Linked DNA regions of Mytilus edulis. The protein of the gene in region 2 purifies or fractionates together with the protein of the main gene of each other region. This does not show direct contact. Links are inferred from orthologs where the notes say so. Each region holds a gene or a part of one and is shown on either strand. Other genes may lie near its edges.

What was found. The genes of interacting proteins can lie anywhere in the genome.
Region 1: the proteins of centrosomal protein of 78 kDa-like (region 2) and centrosomal protein 43-like purify together in Homo sapiens (affinity purification with mass spectrometry; 3 studies listed by BioGRID and IntAct, with this or other methods). This does not show direct contact. The link is inferred for Mytilus edulis from reciprocal best matches to the Homo sapiens genes CEP78 and CEP43.

What each region holds. Positions count from the first base shown.
Region 1 is NC_092353.1:13,359,718-13,370,035, reverse strand, and holds the start of centrosomal protein 43-like, read right to left. Parts: upstream 4,592-10,318; 5' UTR 4,516-4,591; coding exon 4,435-4,515; intron 2,896-4,434; coding exon 2,842-2,895; intron 1,918-2,841; coding exon 1,863-1,917; intron 1,115-1,862; coding exon 1,026-1,114; intron 723-1,025; coding exon 588-722; intron 1-587. Other genes in the region: importin subunit alpha-1-like, read left to right, coding at 6,126-6,185. UniProt on the Homo sapiens protein: Required for anchoring microtubules to the centrosomes. Required for ciliation.
Region 2 is NC_092354.1:21,993,340-22,003,484, forward strand, and holds the start of centrosomal protein of 78 kDa-like, read right to left. Parts: upstream 5,141-10,145; 5' UTR 5,028-5,140; intron 2,147-5,027; 5' UTR 2,124-2,146; coding exon 1,972-2,123; intron 1,155-1,971; coding exon 1,054-1,154; intron 1-1,053. UniProt on the Homo sapiens protein: Centriole wall protein that localizes to mature centrioles and regulates centriole and cilia biogenesis. Involved in centrosome duplication: required for efficient PLK4 centrosomal localization and PLK4-induced overduplication of centrioles.

The sequences.
Region 1 (10,318 bases), on a different chromosome or scaffold from region 2:
AATTAAATCCTTTTTCATTAGATCATTAGACATATCTAATCAGTGCCCTGTAAACACTACTGAAACCCCTAGTTATATTTACCCAATAATATTGCTAAAACATGATATATAATAATGATAATCACACATTTATGTGACTGAATTCTTTAATCTTCTAATTGTTGAATATGAAATTTAATAATTTCTTAATTATATTTATAAATCTGAAAACTACCACCGGTGAAATGACCAGAAAGTCAGGAGCAGGAGATCAATGAACTTTTTTTACTTAAAGGGTTGATATGGTTTTTGATTAAGACTAATGTTACAGATTTTTTTGTTTTTTTTTGTTTATTATATTAGGACAAATACGTTAAAACTTAATAAAAGAGTTTTGGAAGGAATTAAAAAAACTTCAGAATTTCAAAATTCCATTTTTAAACATAACAGACAATTACAATTATTGATGCCTTATATTAAGTGTACTGCACAAAAGAGCTTCTTGGAAAATTTTAAAGTACAATGAAACATTTTCATCGATTTATTTCTCAAAACTGATATACAAACAGAATCTTTAAAATACCTTTGGAAAATTACAATACACTTACATGTGTAGGAGTTCTAGATCTGGGTGATGAACCTTTCTGTTGAACTAATTCTGCAATGAGGGGCCCAGCTGACTGTCCAGTATCTGATACATTCAATTCTTTGGCAAGTGTATCTCTCGACTCATGTGGTATGTTCTGTAATATATTAGGATTATACTGAATTTAGTTCAGTACTAACCATACACAAGAAGTGGTTTAAAATTTGGATTACAAAATAAATTAATTTGAGACAGGAATTCACAAGAATAACGGGTGGATAGATTTACAAAGTTATGCACATGTAAATAATTTCAAATTACATCTCAGTATTCATTATTTTAGAGGGTTGGAAAATTAATTGATATACTGCTTTTGAATATAGTTTCATTACTGCAGTTCTTTAGAAACCATAATGCTTGTCAATGTTGGTTGGTCCTTCAATTTACAAAAAAAAATTACCAGTCCAGCTTCAGGTTCAAACACAGCTAGAGTATATTCTAACTGGAAAAATTCTAGGAATTCTTTTATCAAACCAGCTACAGCTTTCCCTGTAAAGTAAATAAACAATATTACACTTCATCCTTTTATACTATGAATTAAAATTTAACAAATCCTTCAATTCAAGACAAAATTTATAGCATATTTCTTATCACCAATATGAAACTTCCTAACCCAAACATGCAATAGTCAAAATTAAATGATAAATCTTTGTTATGCCTTTTTCTTTGTCTTCTTTCAATTCCTTGATAGCCATTTATAACAGACATATATCTGATTTCTGAAGAATCCTATTTTTTCCTTATACATTGTTAAAGCTGTAAGAAATGTACTCAAAAGTACTGCAGTCAGCATTAGAATGTAGAATACACTACAGGTTCAATACAGGTAATTTGCTTTGTATCTATAAGTGCAATCTTTTTTTTTAAATTTTTATTTATCATGATATGTTAATGTTTTCCTTGACTCTGCACTTTTGTTTTCTACCAGACTATAATTATTGAGTAAAGTGTTTCTTTGAAACTGAATTTCATTGCTATTTTCAATTTATTTTTTGTCACTGATAAAAAAAATTGGTGGTTCAAACTGCAACATGTTCTTGTGTCTCTCTTAAGAACTTTGTCAGAATTTTTTTTTTGGTTTTGAAGGCAGATCTTTAAAAGTGTCAGTTGAAATTATCTTATTTCTTTTCTAAATTCAGATGATTTAGAACTACATATACAAAAAAAATGTAGTTCATAGACAGACACTGGTATATTACTGAAGAAGGTTTCATTCATGTCATACAAGATTATTTACCTTCCTTTGTACCAAGAAATTTCCTTAGGTCATGGTTTGCAAATGGAGTCTTATTCTACAAATAAATAAAAAGAGAAATCAGTAAAGAAACCTTCATTATTGCATAAACAAATGACAATAAAATATGAACAAGAAGATGTAGTCTGAGTACCAATGGGAAAATACCTTAATCATTCATTCTCAAATATAACACAATTCAAACTTTTATATAATCTGTATGCATACCAAATTAGGATGATATCTTTAATTAAAATCAACATATAAAATATATCAAAGTTTTACGCTGTACATAATTCAGATCACATAAAATTTAGGTAAAATATGTAAATGTAATCTTGATACATACAATATATATCTTACTTTTCCAGAATTTCAGCTTGATTTTTACAGACACTGACAAGTTATAAATAAAATATATACTTGATGATAAGAACAATTTCCTCCCATTTATTTGTTTTAATATTTATTTAGCTGAAGATGAAACCCAATGACATATTGGCCTATATTAAAGGTTTTTTTTTAATTTGATAGTTGGTCTACAGTGATCTCTAGACTGTGAATATTGATATTGTGTATCTACTTGAATCTTAATTGTCTATCAACCGAGTGCCAATCCACATCAACAAAAAGAGTTAATAATCCTATCACATTAAAAGCAAAATCTTGATCCAATTGAAAACCATTAAATGCAATAACTATACATTGAGATGAGTATGTTGAAATTCTGATCAAGTCATAGTGTACAACAATGTAGAAAGCAATGATTGATTCTAAACAATTTCTTAAAAGGGTTATATCAAAGGTAAAGCAAAGAGTAATTTAAGCTAATAGAAAGTGATATATTTACACCAAACATGTATTGGTTCACCGGTATGTAAATCATGTATCTCTTTTTATCAGACTTATAGCAAATGATCCTATTTTTGACAGGTTCATTTATTTAAGGACTTTTGTTCATTATGGCATACAAAAATCATACCTGTGAAGACTCTTGTTCTTCTAAAGCTAGGAATACACTGGCCCTCAGCTGTGCCTGAAAATAATTTTTAAGAAATTAAGCGTTGTTTTTTGGAAAAGTTTAATATGCCTCTCATCCATCATTGTCCATGTCATCATATCTATATTAATTTACATGTATTCAAAATCTTTTAAACTAAAATGATGTAAATTCAGCAGGTTGATACAAATCAGTGAATTATAAAGGTTTTTTTAATTTTCTATTTCAGTCAAAGAAAAGAATAGTGCTGTTGGCTAAGGCCAAATTAAACTGGAGATTCTAAAGAGCCTTTGTCAATCATCTGGATCTATGTGCACCATGATCTTAATCAATGTCAATGGCCACTCAGTGGCGGATCCAGGGGGGGGGGGGGGGGGGGTTCCGGGGGTGCACACCCCCCCTTTATTTTTGCCGATCAATGCATTTGTATCGGGACATATGTTTTGCACCCCCCCTATGCCCTCCAGGGCCTGGGTTAGCACCCCCCCTTTCGAAAATTCCTGCATCCGCCCCTGCCACTTTCCAACATATAAATGTAATAGACTAGAAAATAATTCATGGCCATAATATCATTCCTGTCGATCTTTTATAATTGTATAGTTACTGATCACTTTTGATGTTTACAGTTTTTCAATGTAGGTTTCCAAAATCCAAAGCATGTGACAATATTGGTTTAAGACAAGCACTGTTAAAAAAAACCCACTTATACAGGCTAATCAAGTGTTTTTTATGTTGTGTACTGTTGTTCATATAATTTTTCATAGGGGTGTATCTTCGAGTAGCATGTACTGGTCCAAGTTAAAGGAAAAACTTCCAACTTGTATACATAATTTTTATTTTTTTATTTTAAATAACATACATTCAATGTTTTCTAATAAATAATTTGTCTTTTGAGTAGACCTGTACAAGTAAGAAGACACCTTATTGCTATTCCCGGCTGACCAGAGAATCTGCACCGTTAGAACTAATGACGTCATACAAACAAACACTTTTCCATTGTGGCGTCAGATATTTTTTATTATGATGTCAAAATTTTCTGGGAACCTGTGAGATGTCCAGAAATGGCTAACAAATAGCGACAAGGTGTGTATTAAAAAATATAAATACCTGGGGAATTTTTTTGTTATCAATATTTTTGCAGACTATGTCTAACAACTTTAACTGAAAGGGATTTATTGTAATCCCCTTAAAATGCGATAATCACTGTGTCATGCATAGTACATGTATTTGCTTCTAATTTAAGGGGAGATAATTTGAACCAAAAGTTTATATTTTTTTTTTACAGATTTATAGTTTAACCAATTATGATAAATACAATATAAATCAAGATTTCGGACAAATACGACGTAAAATAAATATTTATGACGCTCATGCATTGCTAATATTTGTAAACATGTCACAAATATTTCTACATTCCGTGGTAACTTTGCCAACTTCTTGTCAGTACATGCATCATGGATGCAAAAGCGTCATCAGCAACGTCTTAAAATTCAAATAGAATGGCGTTATGAATATATGTGCGTCATGTTAGCTTAGCCACCAATAACTTTCAATATTTTGTATGGTTTTAAATACCCTGATTTTTCCTAAAACTCCATTTGTCTCTAAAGTTTGAGCTACAAGATCACGAAGCTCGGTGTCTTCGTCTGCCGACATGATTGTTTTGGGAAATAGGTATCTAGCGCATGAACGGAAGTCGGACAATATTTACTAAAACAATGTTTTATTAATGAAGCTTTAATAATAAAAAAAAATCTGCACTTCTAATATTTCTTTAAAAAAATATCTTTTGAACAGCTTTTCATTGGAAAAAACATATTTCCGTAGAACAGGTGCTTGTTTCGAAACACTCTAGACTTTCCATATGGATAGAGAAAAGTCTTGAAAATATACTTTCGGCTTGTTTTGTTGCTAGTGGCTACAACCAATGAAAATTATCTTTATTTTCTATCATCCAATCAAAACGAAACGGCAAAATGACATTTTATATTACCCGGAATTTTTAAAAAGCAGTTTCACAATACACGCATAGAGAAGAAAACAAGAATTGGCTATATTGTACCAGAAACCAATTGCAGTAAAGAAATCTTATTGAAACAGTATTAACGAAGATATCAGTATTCAGGTAAAATGAAATTCAGTATTTTTAAGGGATAATTTACGACAAAGAACCTACAAACTTTAACATCTTTATCATAATTTTAAAGTAGTGTCTGTTAAAATTTAATACTTTATCCTTTTTGATTTTGTTTGCCTATTATTATTACAATACAATTAATCGTTACATCTTAATTTAGATTTTAATGTCATTCAGCTCTGCTTTTGTCGTTTTGGATGCTGTGAGTGTGATTAGCAATTTTTTATGATGATGCCAATAATATAACTTCTACGGTGCAGTTTTTTTAGTTCAATATCTGTTATTTATTCATCTTTATTTTAAAAATTGATAATTTTAAATGCATATTACAGTAAACCAGTATTAATCGAGCTAATTTATTTACCCCCCCCCTTTTTGTTGAAAAATGAATTATGTGGACATATGGTTGGAATCCCCTTTTTTTATGACTTGCATGCAGGCTTTAGGTAAATGTTATCATAATCAGCTGTAATTGATTTCATTATTTCATGAAATCATTGTGATCAGTCAATTTTTTTAACGTTAATCAGTTACTTTTCACTTCCTGATTACTTTTTGATAACATTTTGATCAAAGACATGCAAGATTTCAACTGCAATTTGGTTACTGTGATGTTGTATGTAGAAATTTTTCATGTTTTTTTTAGCAACGATAATATTCAGGCTTATTTTAATTTTCTGACGTAAGTTGGACATAAATATTACAGAAAAATATATCTGGAAAAGTTTGCTTCACATGCATGACAATAAATATCAGTCTGCACCAAAAACTTTTTAAACTACTAGTCCGAAGACTAATATTCTAACATTTTTCTTATTGGGCCAAACAAAGTTTTGCAAAAACTTACTAGTCCGAACCAAATTTGACTAGTCTGGGGCATCGGACTAGTGGCTAACCGTGCAGACTGCTGACATGTATGCGATCTAAAATCAAATTAAAATCATAAAAACTTGCTTTCATGTTTCACTAATCAGAAAATGAAAATGACTCATGAAAATCTTTAGGATTTAAAAAATTTAGTTATATTGATATGTTGACATTGTTATTGTACATCTGAATCTAGATATATATTATAATTACAAGTGCTAAAAGTTCTGATTATTTCAGATTTAAAAGAAAGCTGTAAAAGATGCCTTCCAATGAAAATGCTCGTATTAAAACCTACAAAAACAAAGGAAGAGATGTTGATGTAAGTGAAGAACTGAGTAATAAATTAAAATAAATATTCATATTACACATATTAAAGTAATATTTGTTTAATGAGTGTTGTAATGAAAGGAAATGATTAGGCCCCAAAATTTAGAAGGTCAGATTATTAAATTTTTTGTGTAGCAATTATATAACAAAACATTTAGTCAGTCTTTAAAATAAAAGAAAGATTTGATGCTTTTTGTAAATTTATAAGAAAAGATTCAACTCCCTTAGACAAAATTAATCTTAGATAGATTTATCTATTTTTTTAAGGTCTGTTTTAGTCATCAGAGCTCCAGATAAGAATTCACAAATTGGGGTTTTTACCCCTCCATTTTTTTTATCTATTTGAGTGAAATAGTTTTTCAATTGCATTATTAATTCCAAGTCGAGCTGTCTAAGTCACCCGTCAAGCAAATATCAAATTGGGTTTTTACCACCAAGCTCCTTAGTGTATTGGTTTTTTCCATTAAGACGATATTGAATGTGTGTGTTCACTCATCAACTAAAATAAATATATACTATATATACTCTTGAACTAAAAATAAACAATGCTTTTGTCTAATTTTATTTACATAAATCTGGATTTTCTTGTCCCTTCTTAGAACTTTTGGTTTCTGATGCTGACTTCATATAACAAGTGATTTGGCCTTTCATGTTCCAACTGATTTCGTTTTGATGAGTTCTAACCCTGTTATCGTTAAGGCACGCAAACACGCCTGGACGCGCCATTGCACAACCCCATACGTTCAAGGGACGCTTCCTGCCAACACTAGCCGAGTCTTGTTATCATCATAATCCTCTCAAAAGGAAACTAAATATAAAAAAGATGTGGTATGATTGCCAATGAGACAACTATCCACAAAAGACCAAAATGACAGACATTTACAACTATAGGTCACCGTATGGCCTTCAACAATGAGCAAAGCCCATACCGCATAGTCAGCTATAAAAGGCCCAGATAAGACAACGTAAAACAATAAAAACGAGAAAAATTACGGCCTTATTTATGTAAAAAAATTCGTAAGGGTTCCACGGAACCCAGTGTCTCGCCTACTTTCAGGGCTTTCCATTGAAATTGAAGTAGAAGGCTGAATTAAAATTATAGGCGGCTGTAACATGCGTTCGGCAAAGCCGGACGCCCACCAAGCTGTAAGCTTGGTGCCTTACGGCAGGGGGTCTGGGGGCCGCTGAAGGCCCCCAGAAGCTCTGATATAAATAGAGCAAAATCCTACATTCTCGCAATCTCCTGGCACCTAATTTCATCTTTCAAATGACCATTTTTTATGTATGAAATTAAAGAAAGAAAAAAAATCTCAAAGAATTTTTTTTTTTTTTTTATGTTATTTTTTTTTACCTTACGCTTGAAATTCATTTACTTTTAAAGGAGATTAATTCATACAATAATCCGATTTGTTAAAAAAATCTTGCTCGATTTATTTTGCATAACTACGTGCATTTGTAAACAAATGACCCCCCTTTTCTCTCTAAAGACTGTTACGCGTATTTAAACCATACAATTATTTCACAAGCATTGACAGAAAATTGATATATCCCCTGATTTTCTCTTTTTTTTTGTAAACTATTCAATAAGTCGGATACATAAATCATTTGGAAATGTTATTTATTTGAGGTCGAGTCGACAATATTCTACTTTCGTTTTTGACCTCTCTGAACACCACGTGGGCTTTGAAAAATGAACTTCAAAAGAGACTGTTTTCCAGATTCTGAACAATATGATCTACTACACTTTCTTTAATTTGACTGATATTATTTCATAACATAAGATTGTCATCCTAATCTGATTGTTTTCACGTTTTAAAAGCCAAAAAAGCCAACGAGTTAATGACCATCGGAACGTCTCTATTGTTATCCTTCAATGGCCACCGGAACGTCTCTCTTGTTATCTTTAAAAAGAAACGATGCATTCTGACTTTAAATAGACAACCAATCAGTGACCTGAATTCATGTGAACTATATTTAGCCCAAGGTAAACACTGACTTTTCATCCTTGTTTATCGTGACCGCGACTTTGCGACAATACGTCTCTCGGCTGCCTGTAAACATTTGAAAAAGATATTTTTTTCTTTTTGAATTTATATTTTTGTCAGCGAAGTAGCGGGCACTTGAAGCCACCGCAAACTGCGGATTTCCGCCGGCTACCGGCTTCAATGGAAAGCCCTGTACTTTTGCTGTTAATCGCAGACTCAACAGAAATGAGGAAAAACATCAATAAAAATTTCCCTCTCGATACTGTCTTTTGATTGAAAGAAGCTTCCAAGTTTGGTAAAAAAATCCAGGATAGTTTATGAATCTAATAAATGTTTTATAAAATTTTTATTAAACTTTAACTGCAGACTGTATGTAATGTTAACTGGAAGTCCATTTATAAGTAAAATACGGAAAAAGTGATTTTTTTTTTTTACCAAATTCACTTCTGAATAATATCTTATGATCAGAAACAGGCTTTTGTCTAAGTTTGGTAGAAATCCAGGATAGTTTAAGAACATTATAAAATTTTTAAAAACAACCACAGAGTGAATGTTTTGTTTCTGGCAAAAAAACTAAGTCCATTTATAAGTAAAATACGGAAAAGTGAAAATTTATTTTTACAAAATTTTCTTCTTGATACTATCTTATGATCATAAACAAGCTTCTGTCCAAGTTTGGTACAAATCAAGGATAGTTTATGAAAGTTATTAAAATTTTAAAAACTTTAACCACAGAGAGAATGTAATGTTTCCTTGCAGAAAAAGTATCCTTTTATAAGTAAAATACGGAAAAGTGGAAATTTATTTTTACAAAATTTTCTTCTTGATACTATCTTATGATCATAAACAAGCTTCTGTCCAAGTTTAGTACAAATCAAGGATAGTTTATGAAAGTTATTAAAATTTAAAAAACTTTAACCACAGAGTGAATGTAATGTTTCCTCGCAGAAAAACTAAGTCCATTTATAAGTAAAATACGGAAAAAATGGAATTTTATTTTTACAAAATTTACTTCTCGATACTTTCTTATGATCATAACAAGCTTCTGTCCAAGTTTGGTAGAAATTCAGTATAGTTTAAGAAAGTTATTAAAATTTCAAAAACTTAAACCACAGAGTGAATATTTGTGGATGCCGCCGCCGACGACGGAATGTATGATCGCTTAGTCTCGCTTTTTTGACTAAAGTCGAAGGCTCAACAAAAATGAAAAGAAAAAAACAAATATGTAACACACAAACAAATGACAACCACACTGAATTACAGGCTCCTGACTTTGGACAGGCACATACATAAATAATGTGGCGGGGTTAAACATGTTAGGGGGATCCCAACACTCCCCTAAGCTGGGACAGTGGTATAACAGTACAACATAAGAACAAACTATAAAAATCAGTTGAAAAAAGGCTTAACTCATCAGATGGACAAACATACAAGTGGACGTGGCCGGGTACTTAAAACATGTTTCTATTCAATATTTTTACCGGAAATTTACTTTCGTTTTAATTCATTGCTAAGTGTTATGTTAAGTCCCCAGAAGTATGAAAAGAATTATGAAAACATGGCTAACGCTAATTGGATAAAGACAGAGAGATCGAAATGTTTCCTCACCACGTGTACCGTACCTTTAAGCAACGGAACATCAGTCTGCACCAAAAACTTTTTCAACTACTAGTCCGAAGACCAATATTCTGACATTTTTCTTATTGGTCCAAGCAAAGTTTTGCAAAAACTTACTAGTCTGAATGAAATTTTACTAGTCTGGGGCATCGGACTCGTGGCTAACGGTGCAGACTGTCAACATTTCAACGGGACCCTTTCAACAATCTATTTTTAGAACGAAAGGACATTTTCGATGAAGGTTATATTGAAAATTGTTTCAGACTCGTGAAAATTATAACGTGTTGTTTTCATTTTTATTTCTTGAACCATAAGTAAAAAGCAGTTAAAAGATTTATCATACAGGAAACATGCAAAGTTACATGTAGATAATTCAATTACTCTTTTTTTTTATAAAGTATCAAAGCAGAAAAAAGGCAGTGTTGGTCCGTTATCATCATGATCATGGTTTATATTGAATAAACCACATACATATTTTTGGCCTTAGAATGAATATAAGAAAATAAGGAGAAATGGTTTGATT
Region 2 (10,145 bases):
CAAGATTTTCAATGTTCGACAAAGTATACATTTTTTATAGGTTTGTATGCAGACTTTGGCTAAAAAAAATAATGATCAAATATAAAAAAAATATATACATATTTTCATTAATCTACAAAAATTGATACCCCCCCAAAAAAAATTGAATCCACAGTAAAAAAACATTGTTTCATTTAACATGTTTAATAGTTGATCATTTATGTTCTCCATTGTATAACATATAAAAAATTTATACTGAAAGATTCATACAGAGTATCAGTGACAGTGTACCACAGCTACAAAAACCACATTGTTATAATTAAACTCATCATAGATACCAGGACTAAATTTTATATATACGCCAGACGCACGTTTCGTCTACAAAAGACTCATCAGTGACATTCGAATCCAAAAGAGTTAAAAAAAAAAGACAAATAAAGTATGAAGTTGAAGAGCATAGAGAACCAAAATTCCTAAAAGTTTTGCAAAATACAGCTAAGGTAATCTATGCCTGAGGTAGAAAAACCTATGTACTTCAAAAAATTCAAAATTTTGTAAACAGTTAATTTAAGACTCTTTGTAAGCTCACTATTGAATCATGTGTTTATCACAAATTGGGTCATTAATTCATGGCATAGTCATATGACAGATTTGTTTTCGGTAATTTGAGAGGATGGAAGATCTTTATGATTATTTAATTCAATAAAAACTTTTCTCAGAACTGACATTTTTTAAGACATCATATATGTCTTTTGTTAAAGTCTTTTTGATGACCTCTACATGACTTTTTCATTGTTTGTGTCATTTATTTCATGAACCTGTTACCTCATTGTATTAATATATTTAGGACAAGAGGGACACATCCACAACCAGTGAAAATGTGTGGTTTATGAATAATAAGGAGAATCAACCAATGAAAATGTGTGTTTTATGAATAATAAGGAGAATCAACCAATGAAAATGTGTGTTTTATGAATAATTAGGAGAATCAACCAATGAAAATGTGTGTTCTGTAAATTATACTTGAATAATCAGCAGATAATACTGTGTGCTTTTTGATTTATAATAGATTACCATTTTCATCATTTGGTGGTGTGTAGTAACTACGTATTCCAACAAACTCCAAACTTTTGTTGATTTTAAGTGTGTTTAGTATCGGCTGCCAGTCTGTTACTCTGAAATATATCAAAAGTAAAAGTAAATTTTAGCATTCAACATGCTAAACTCTTCAGTTCTCCAAGATTTTAAACTGAAAATTGAAATTGAATCGGTTTCCGAAAAAGAAAATCTTTCACTGAGTGAGCTAGTCCAAAATAAAACTGAAACCAGTATGGTCTAAGTTTAGTGATAGCCGTATGAACTTTTGGTGCGCTGTAGTTATTAACTTTTGGTGCGCTGTAGTTATTAACTTTTAAGTAATTTGATATCTGGTGGAGAGTTGTCTCATTGGCTACCATATAAAATCTTCTTATTTTTATATATGAATTTCTTATGAACTAATAGAGATTTCCTGATTACCTACTAACAACTTTTAATGGGAGCTAACTCTGCACACCCTAATGAAAAGATTTATTGTTTTATATCCTTGTATACAGTATAAGTAGCGTAAAGCTAAGCAAAAATTTTCCCGTAATAAATTCTAAGATCATTTTATTTTGTTTAATAAATGTTAAATTAGTGTATTACTTGTATCATGTGCACTGATTTTATTTTTACAATGTATTGTGTACCAATAATTAATTGTCAACTGGTCCAAATTTCAATGTACATATAAAAGGTCATTGGTTGTCTTATATGAATGTTTTCCCATTTTGTCATACTGAACCATAACCATGTAGTTTGGCTCATTGTTGAAGGCCATAATGTGACTGGTAGTTGTATACATTTTTGTACCTTCTTGTTTTTCAGTCTGTTTGATAAATAATGTATTTTCGTTGATAGTTTCTGAAAATAATAATACCTCATCACCTTGTTTTTATACGAAATAATTACCTGACTCGATCTCCATTGATATCTAATACATTCTGTTGAAGATGTGCTTTGACAGCTGGAAGGGGACATGAGTCCTGCATGGCACAGAGGTTGTCATAGTGACTGTCAAAATCAACAGCCCCTCTGTGGCGTATCTGTACACTCTCAATCATTCTGCTGGTTCTTCTTTAGTCACCTAAAATAGAAATGAGAAATCTTATTACTGATAGAAATATTTTGTGAACATTTATTTAAAGTATTTCTTATACTTTTTTTAACACTGAATTCACTATAATATTCTTCAAACAATTTACCAAAGAAAGAGTTATTTCCCTTATGTTCTGTAGAGTTATTTCCCTTCTCTCCAGAAGGGTTATCTCCCTTATGTCCTGAAGAGTTATCTCCCTTATGTTCTGTAGAGTTATTTCCCTTCTCTCCTGAAGGGTTATCTCCCTTATGTCCTGAAGAGTTATTTCCCTTATGTTCTGTAGAGTTATTTCCCTTCTCTCCAGAAGGGTTATCTCCCTTATGTCCTGAAGAGTTATCTCCCTTATGTTCTGTAGAGTTATTTTCCTTCTCTCACTTTACCAAATGGAGACAACTCTCCTTTTTTTTCTCTCTCTACTATGGATTTATTTTTTGACAGAGAAGCTTTATAAGGGAAAAAACAACAGCAAAACTTGGCACATCAAACATCAAGGATGGCTTAAATTCATGATTCAGTGAAATGTGTCTCACTTTTCAAACATGGGAAAAGCTATTTTCCTAGTAAAGAGATTTGAAATTATAAGCTACCTCCAAACAAAACCATTAAGTTTGTCAAGAAATATTTATTTTTTTCGCAAATAGATCAGAGTGACATATACATGTACATATATTCCTTGTATCAAACAAGATCAATTATGAAATATTTACCATTAAACATATATACATGTATTAATAATCTATTCAAAAGATGCATATTAAACAACTGAACAGAAATAGGGACCGGTTGGTAACAGTTGATAAAGGTAAGTGTTGTCGTAAACTCTCGATTTAAAAAAAAATTTAGAAACTTTATTGCAAACACTGGATGTACAAAAGACCTTATCGTTATGTGTCCTCCATTCCGTAAAATTCTAAGTCATAATAAAAAACATCTGACGCCACAATAGAAAAGTTATTGTTGTATGACGTCAATAGTTCAAGTGGAACTGATTTTTATGTCAATCAAGACAGATTTCCAAATACAGTAAAACCTGACTAAACCGAATCCTGTATAAACCGAAAACCTGTATAAACCAAACATGTTCATAAGCACCATCATATCAAATTATGTGCGCTGAAAACCTGATAAAACCGAACATCGGCCAAAACCGAAGAAAATCTTAAGTCCCAAAGAGGTTCGGTTTAAACAGGTTTCACTGTAGCTATAAGGTGTATACCAATGGTGCAATCAGGCTTTAAAATTGAGGACATTTTTCTGATGATTTTTAATGTGATTTTATGGACTGAAATAGCATGGGATGGGGGGCATATATATTGTATATAGCAATGTCGCTTTAAGTGGTACTCTTCCAGTTTATCATGCTGTCTCATGTAATTATTTTTATATTTTTTTATTCCTATGTACATGATGTAGTCATACCCATCAATGCAAAAAAATAAAATAGCCTTCCAAGACATAACTATTTAGACAAAAGATGTGGTAAACATATAAATGACATTGTCAATAAACCTGTCAAGCTATAGACTATAAATGAGGGGGGTAGGAGGGGTCTTGATCCGGAAATCCTGAATTTAAATAAATTTAAACATGTTAAATCCTGACATCCCGAATTTCGAAAAAAGAATTCCTTAATGTTGAAAGGGGTCAATCTCAAAAACCTGAGCTTAAAAACACCTGATCACGAAATTCCTGATAAAGGTCCTATCCCCATGAATCTGGGTCCATTCGCGCCCATTCACGTTCGCCCCCTTTCACTTTCGCTCCCTACACGTTCGCGCTCAATTTCTATTGGTTTTGTGTTTAATAACTTTGTAATCAAGTTTTGGCAAGTGTATTCCTATGAGTATATTTGTTGTCATTGTCCTAAATTAAAGTGAGACATGTTTTTTTGTGTTGAATAAATCTTAATCTTGTTTTGGTTAAGTGTATTGCTAACTTTTATTTCATTGTTTCAAAATAAAGAGTGACTATAACAACATAAAATTGAGAAAGGAAATGTGGAATGTGTCAAAGCGACAACAACCCGACCATAGAGCAGACAACAGCCGAAGGCCACCAATGGGTCTTCAATGTAGCGAGAATTCCAGCACCCGTAGGTGTCCTTCAGCTGGCCCCTAAAAATATGTATACTAGTACAGTGATAATGGACGTCATACTAAACTCTGAATTATACACAAAAACAAAAATTAAAAATCATACAAGACTAACAAAGGCCACATATTTTTTTGTGTTGAATAAATTCTAATCATTTTTTGGTTAGTGCATTGCTATGATTTTTTGTTTCATTGTTTCAGATCAAAGGGGCCTATAAGCTGTTTAATAAAATCTTTTGTGTTTTTCATTTGAAATCTTCAATGTTTTTACTCATACCAAGCTAAATACATGCAGTATTTACATCAAATCAATTAAAAACAACAATCTTCATTTTCTAATTATTCAACTGGAATTTTATTGAAAATTGGGTACGAACGGACCTTGGGTGCAAACATGCGAGGTGCGAAAGTGTATTAGGCACAAACGAACCTGATACCTATCCCCCTCATAAATTATTTAGGGTTGTACATGTATGTTGTAAGCTTTTTAACATTTTGTATACTTCATGTACTTTAAAGAAAACTTTTGAATGCACACATATTATAATTTCTTTATAACTTTGTCTATTAGAGTATAAATACAAAGACAGTTACAAACATTGAAAAATTGCAAAATCAAAACAAAACATGCCGGTACTCGTCCCAGTTTTGCAAGATCTAACAGAACATTTCGGAGATTGACATGCTATGCGCCGATTTTAGCCATTTTACGATATTTTCAAAGTTGTTCCTCTGATATTTTATCACTAGACTTCGTGACAAGATAGATAATTTACCATTCATCACAAATAACAGAAGTTTTTCGCTTTCAAAATAAAAGGTTAGTGGCGCTGATTATTAGTTTACATCCCAGAATCCATTGTAACTTCCATAACCATCTGACGTCACTTCCGATAACAAGCACGTTCGTCTAGAAAATTCTCACAAAATCGAAAATAGATCTTTTGAGAAGGAAGTATCATTGCTAAAAGACTTAAAAGAAACGAAGAAACATAATTTAGTAGGTAAATTAAGCAAGAAATCTTTAGTGAAAGTTCCGTAGTGGTTGCTTTTTTTAGGCAGAATGACAAATTTGAAGAAAAGCTTGGTTTTTAGCAACAAAAAGGGGGGATGAAATATATTAGCTACCATTGTTCAAGATTTTAGTATGACACTAATAATCTATTATCAAAAGTCGAAGATTTAATCATGTTTTCATTCAGTTGCCAGTGTTAGTTGATGTATATTCTTACATACAAGTAGTCACACGCCCATCTGCCTGAAGCCTTTAGTTTATTCTTTGACTTTATCTACAAATACAATTCAATGTATGAATAAACCTTATCGTTATTTGTCCGCCTGTACTGGACATCACACATGTTCCCATAATATTTTGACGTCATAAATCAAAAGATCTGACGCCACAATGGAAAAGTCTTAGTGTATGATGCAAAAGTTTACGAAGCGGGACAGCTTTTCCGGTCAGCAATGGTCAGCCGGAAATAGCGAGAAGTTGTATACACTCACTATAGTACACCTTAGCGCTATTTGTCCCACATACCTAGTCATCACAAAGGTTCTCATAAATTTTTGACGTAACAATAGAATTTATCTAATGTTACAATGTAAAAGTGATTGTATGACGCCAATAGTTAAGGTAGCACAGATTCTTGCCATTCTTGGGTAAAGCAGCAAAGATTTCCAAATAGTGATAAGGTATATTGTTAAACTACATGTTGTAGACAAGTTTTGATGTAATTTTTAAGCAGTTAAGCTGCTTTATGCGAGCACCCTAGATTTATGTTCTACCCAATAAATGCTGAAATATGTGCCACTTTTATTATCTGACTGGCTATCATGTTATTTATAACTAATTGGACACTTTTTTCATACTTTTTATTTGGAATATAAAAAAATATTACCATAAAAACGTTAACTGGTCGTCGATTTTCCCAAAAGTTTTGAAGTTGCACATAGGAAGTAGTGCTCGATAAAATTCCTTCTATAGTTTATTATCCACTGTGCTGTTGGCTAAGATGTCAAAGATCAATTGTATGAAATATTTGATCGCCGAAAATCTATAAAGATGAGTCGTTTACATTTCCCATATGGCAAAAGTCGTAGGAATATTGTTGATCATCGATACGTATTTCATACGTCAGTAGTCTATTAATCAGCTGATATAAGTTGGCGGCAATTTCAAATTACATAGAAGACGAAATTTACGTACCTTTTAAAATTGGGAGAATTCTGATGAAACATAGGTACATCATTATTAATCATTTTATTCGTTTTTTTGTCTGAAATGATTGAGATTATTTAAATCGTCTTTATTCAGTAATCTTAAACGTATGCTCATTTGTTTTCTTGTTAATATTATTCCGATTTCTCGCAAATGACCTTCATGCTTGTCAAATTAAGTTATTGTTATTGTAGTTTTCTGATTGGTCGATGTCAAGGTCATTTTAAGATTGTTTCGCTTTTGTGAACAATGTAACATAATGCTACACGTGCTTTGATTAAGCTCAATATGTGCTTCAATAAATATTGTGATTAAAACTTTAACAATTGTTTTCTAAAGGACGGCATTATTTAACTTCAAAGTCGCATATTTTGTAAAATATTAAGTCCGAATCTGTGACGCGTATCACACCGTAATTGTTTTTAATTTACAAGGACTTTTCGATTTCCGGTACAGAAAAATACGACTTTTTTAAATGTTTTTTTTTTTTATAATTTTTCACATTTAAACACTCGTTAAGTGTTATTGAATCAATTCTATGCGGTTCCTTCAGCAACTTTATGCTGGCAAACGATTTCCCCATGAAAATAATATGAAAAGAAATCGCATGATACAATAAAAAGGTAACGACTAACGAGGCTCGAGAAATGTTTTAATATGTTTTCAACAAGTTGAAGTTACAAACAAGTTTTTCTTAATTCCTACTATTACAGTTATTGAAAGTTTAAATACATGTGTTTTTTTTATTATGATATTAGTAATGGAAGACAGTTAAACCGTAATCAAGATATATTTTAATTCAGTTATAATTTGAGACGTAAAAAAAATTGAGAGTGAACATGCAGTGTTCTCCCCAGGCCCTTAAAGGACCACGGGCCCGCGATGTATAATTTTCTACCGCGGTGGTATCGTTCTTGCCGCGATGTATAAATTTTCTCCGTGGTGCTAAAGTTTTCGGTAAAAAATTCGTATTAAAATCGGTAAAGTTTCAAATGACTTCAACTTTCAGTGAGGGTTAAAATTTTACATGAAAATTGACCAGTTCTAACCAGTTTAATCCAGTATTGATAGGTAGATTGTTTACACCACGTGATCGATTTACCTGTTGAGGTTAACATTGATGATTGGATTTAATCGATGTACATGATTCTCTTGTGTTTTAATTAATTAAGAGATCATAATTTTAATAACAGACTTGTAATAGGGGACAAGCAGACATTTGTGAATGAACTCTTTTACGCCAGTCTTTTAGTCAAAATAATTTGACTGTTATAGAAATTAATTGTGGAGTTATTTCCCCTGATTTTGCTTATTACAAATAAATGCTCCTCACATATAATTTCTCATTGAAAATTAAAATAAAGCACAAATTAAATGCAAAATTATATTAGAATGTTACATTAAGGATAAAAAAAATCTTAGAAGATACCAACGAAAATGTTTTGCAAATTATTTTAGAGAATGATACCTTTATTGATACACAGACATTTTGTAATTTTATATTAAATAGACTTTTACTTCACATGGGTCATTGATAAAAAAGCATCTTGTGCCTAAACTTCACAGGAATGTGAGTTTAGAATTACTAATACAATTGAAATTAAGTATTTATAAACTTAAACTTTTAAAATAATAACTAAGATGCATAAAAAAAATAAAAAAAACTGTTGTTAAAAAGAATGGAAAGTAGGTTTCAATTTACTGATGGTTCTGTAACAAAAATTAATCTTGTTCAAAGTTCATTGTTATGGTCAAATCTAACATGGGGAATGTGTAGTGTAACTTCAAGTATTGGGACAAAATGGCTTGATCCAAATATAAGAAGTAAGATATTAAAGTATAAAAACTGTTATATTGATTTACTTTTTCTACCAATAATGTTCTGACCCAAAGTCCATACAACACAGTACCACAGTAAACAAAACAAAGGCAAAAAGGTAATGACAAAAACCAACAAGAAAAAAATAAGCGACGCAACGCGACTCAAAATATTGTAAAATTCATTTCGTCACGCGTTACCCTGGTGCTATCCAAAAATCCTGGGGAGAACACTGAACATGGTGAAAATGGGGAATGTGTCATAGAGACAATAACCAGATCTTAGAGCAGACAACAGTCGAAGGTTACCAATGGATCTTTACTGCAGGGAGAAACTCCAACACCCAAAGGATTGCTTTTGCTGGCCCCTTAACGTAATAACAAAAATGTAAACTATTTGAACTAGTCACTTGTTCCGGTGGAACTTTTTAAACCAGAGGAAGAACAAAGTAACTACAATGTAGTTAATAAGTTCCGGAGAACTTTTCGGCTAGCTAGTTCTTTCCGCCTGGAACTTTCCAACCTCGCAACAAAAGAGCATTTACAATAACTTGGTCATCATACTAAAATCAGATGTATACACAAGAAATTAATAAAATTAAAAAAAATGTACAAAACAATTATGAAAAATAAATATGATATACAGCTACAATCACCACACTAGTCACTGGGTCCTCACTATGGACAGGTACATACAGAATGTGGCGGCTTAAACATCTTAACTGGCACAAACCTCTCCCCTAACATAGGACAGTGTATGTGTATAATCTCAGACATTGAATCTTTATAAATATAAATTGGAAATAACTTTTGAAAGTGGTAGGATTGCATAACATAAACATTACTGTACAAGCATTATTTGGTACTTTAGAAATAGCTGAGAACAATGCCTGAGATAAATATTTTGACTAATTCTTTACACTATTCATCTGAACGTGGCCAAGTTTGCCGTTGGGTTTTTGATTAACTGCCTATAGCACCCTTTGGTGCTTTGATTTAATGAACAGTCTGCACCCAAAACTTTTTCATCTACTAGTCCGGACACTAAATATCAAAACTTGTCCCTATAAGACTATAGAAAATTTTCACCAGTCCGAATTAATATTTACTAGACTGGGGCATCGGACTAGTGGCTAACGGTGCAGACTGAATGAACTACCCTGGTTGACCTGGGTTGATTTGTAGAAAGCACATCTAAAAAAAATATTCTGTGAAGATACATGTATATGCTTTGAGATGCTATTTAATTGTGGGTACAAGCATATTCATATATCAGAAACAAATTATAATACAATATCTAATAAACATGATAAAAATCAGGAGAAAGACACGATAACTTGAAATTATTAAAACATGCAATAAACATATTCTCTTTTGGTATTTAGCTGAATTTGCCTCTGAATGACCTTAGAACTTTTCAGAATAACATTCTGACGTCTAACAACAATCACTTTTTAATTGTGATGTCAAAGTTTACGGGTGTGCTTGTAAGAATGGTGGACACATTTGCATAACAATGTAAATGTCTATGTTGTTTTTACATTATTCTGTTATTCATAGTTATCAGTATTTTTTTGGGAAAAAAAATTCCCTACCTACACAGTCTGCGCCAAAAACTTTTTCATCTACTAGTCCAGAAACTAAATATCAAAACTTGTCCCTATACGACTATTATATAAAATTTAGAAAATTTTTATTAGTCCGTTACAATTCTGGGGCATCGGACTAGTGGCTAACCGTGCAGACTGCCTACATGTATATGTGTAACTACAGAATCTATATATGAACCTCTGGGTAGAGGAACAACAAACAAATTTTTATGTTTAACCTAATCTCTGGCAATGTTGGAGTTATG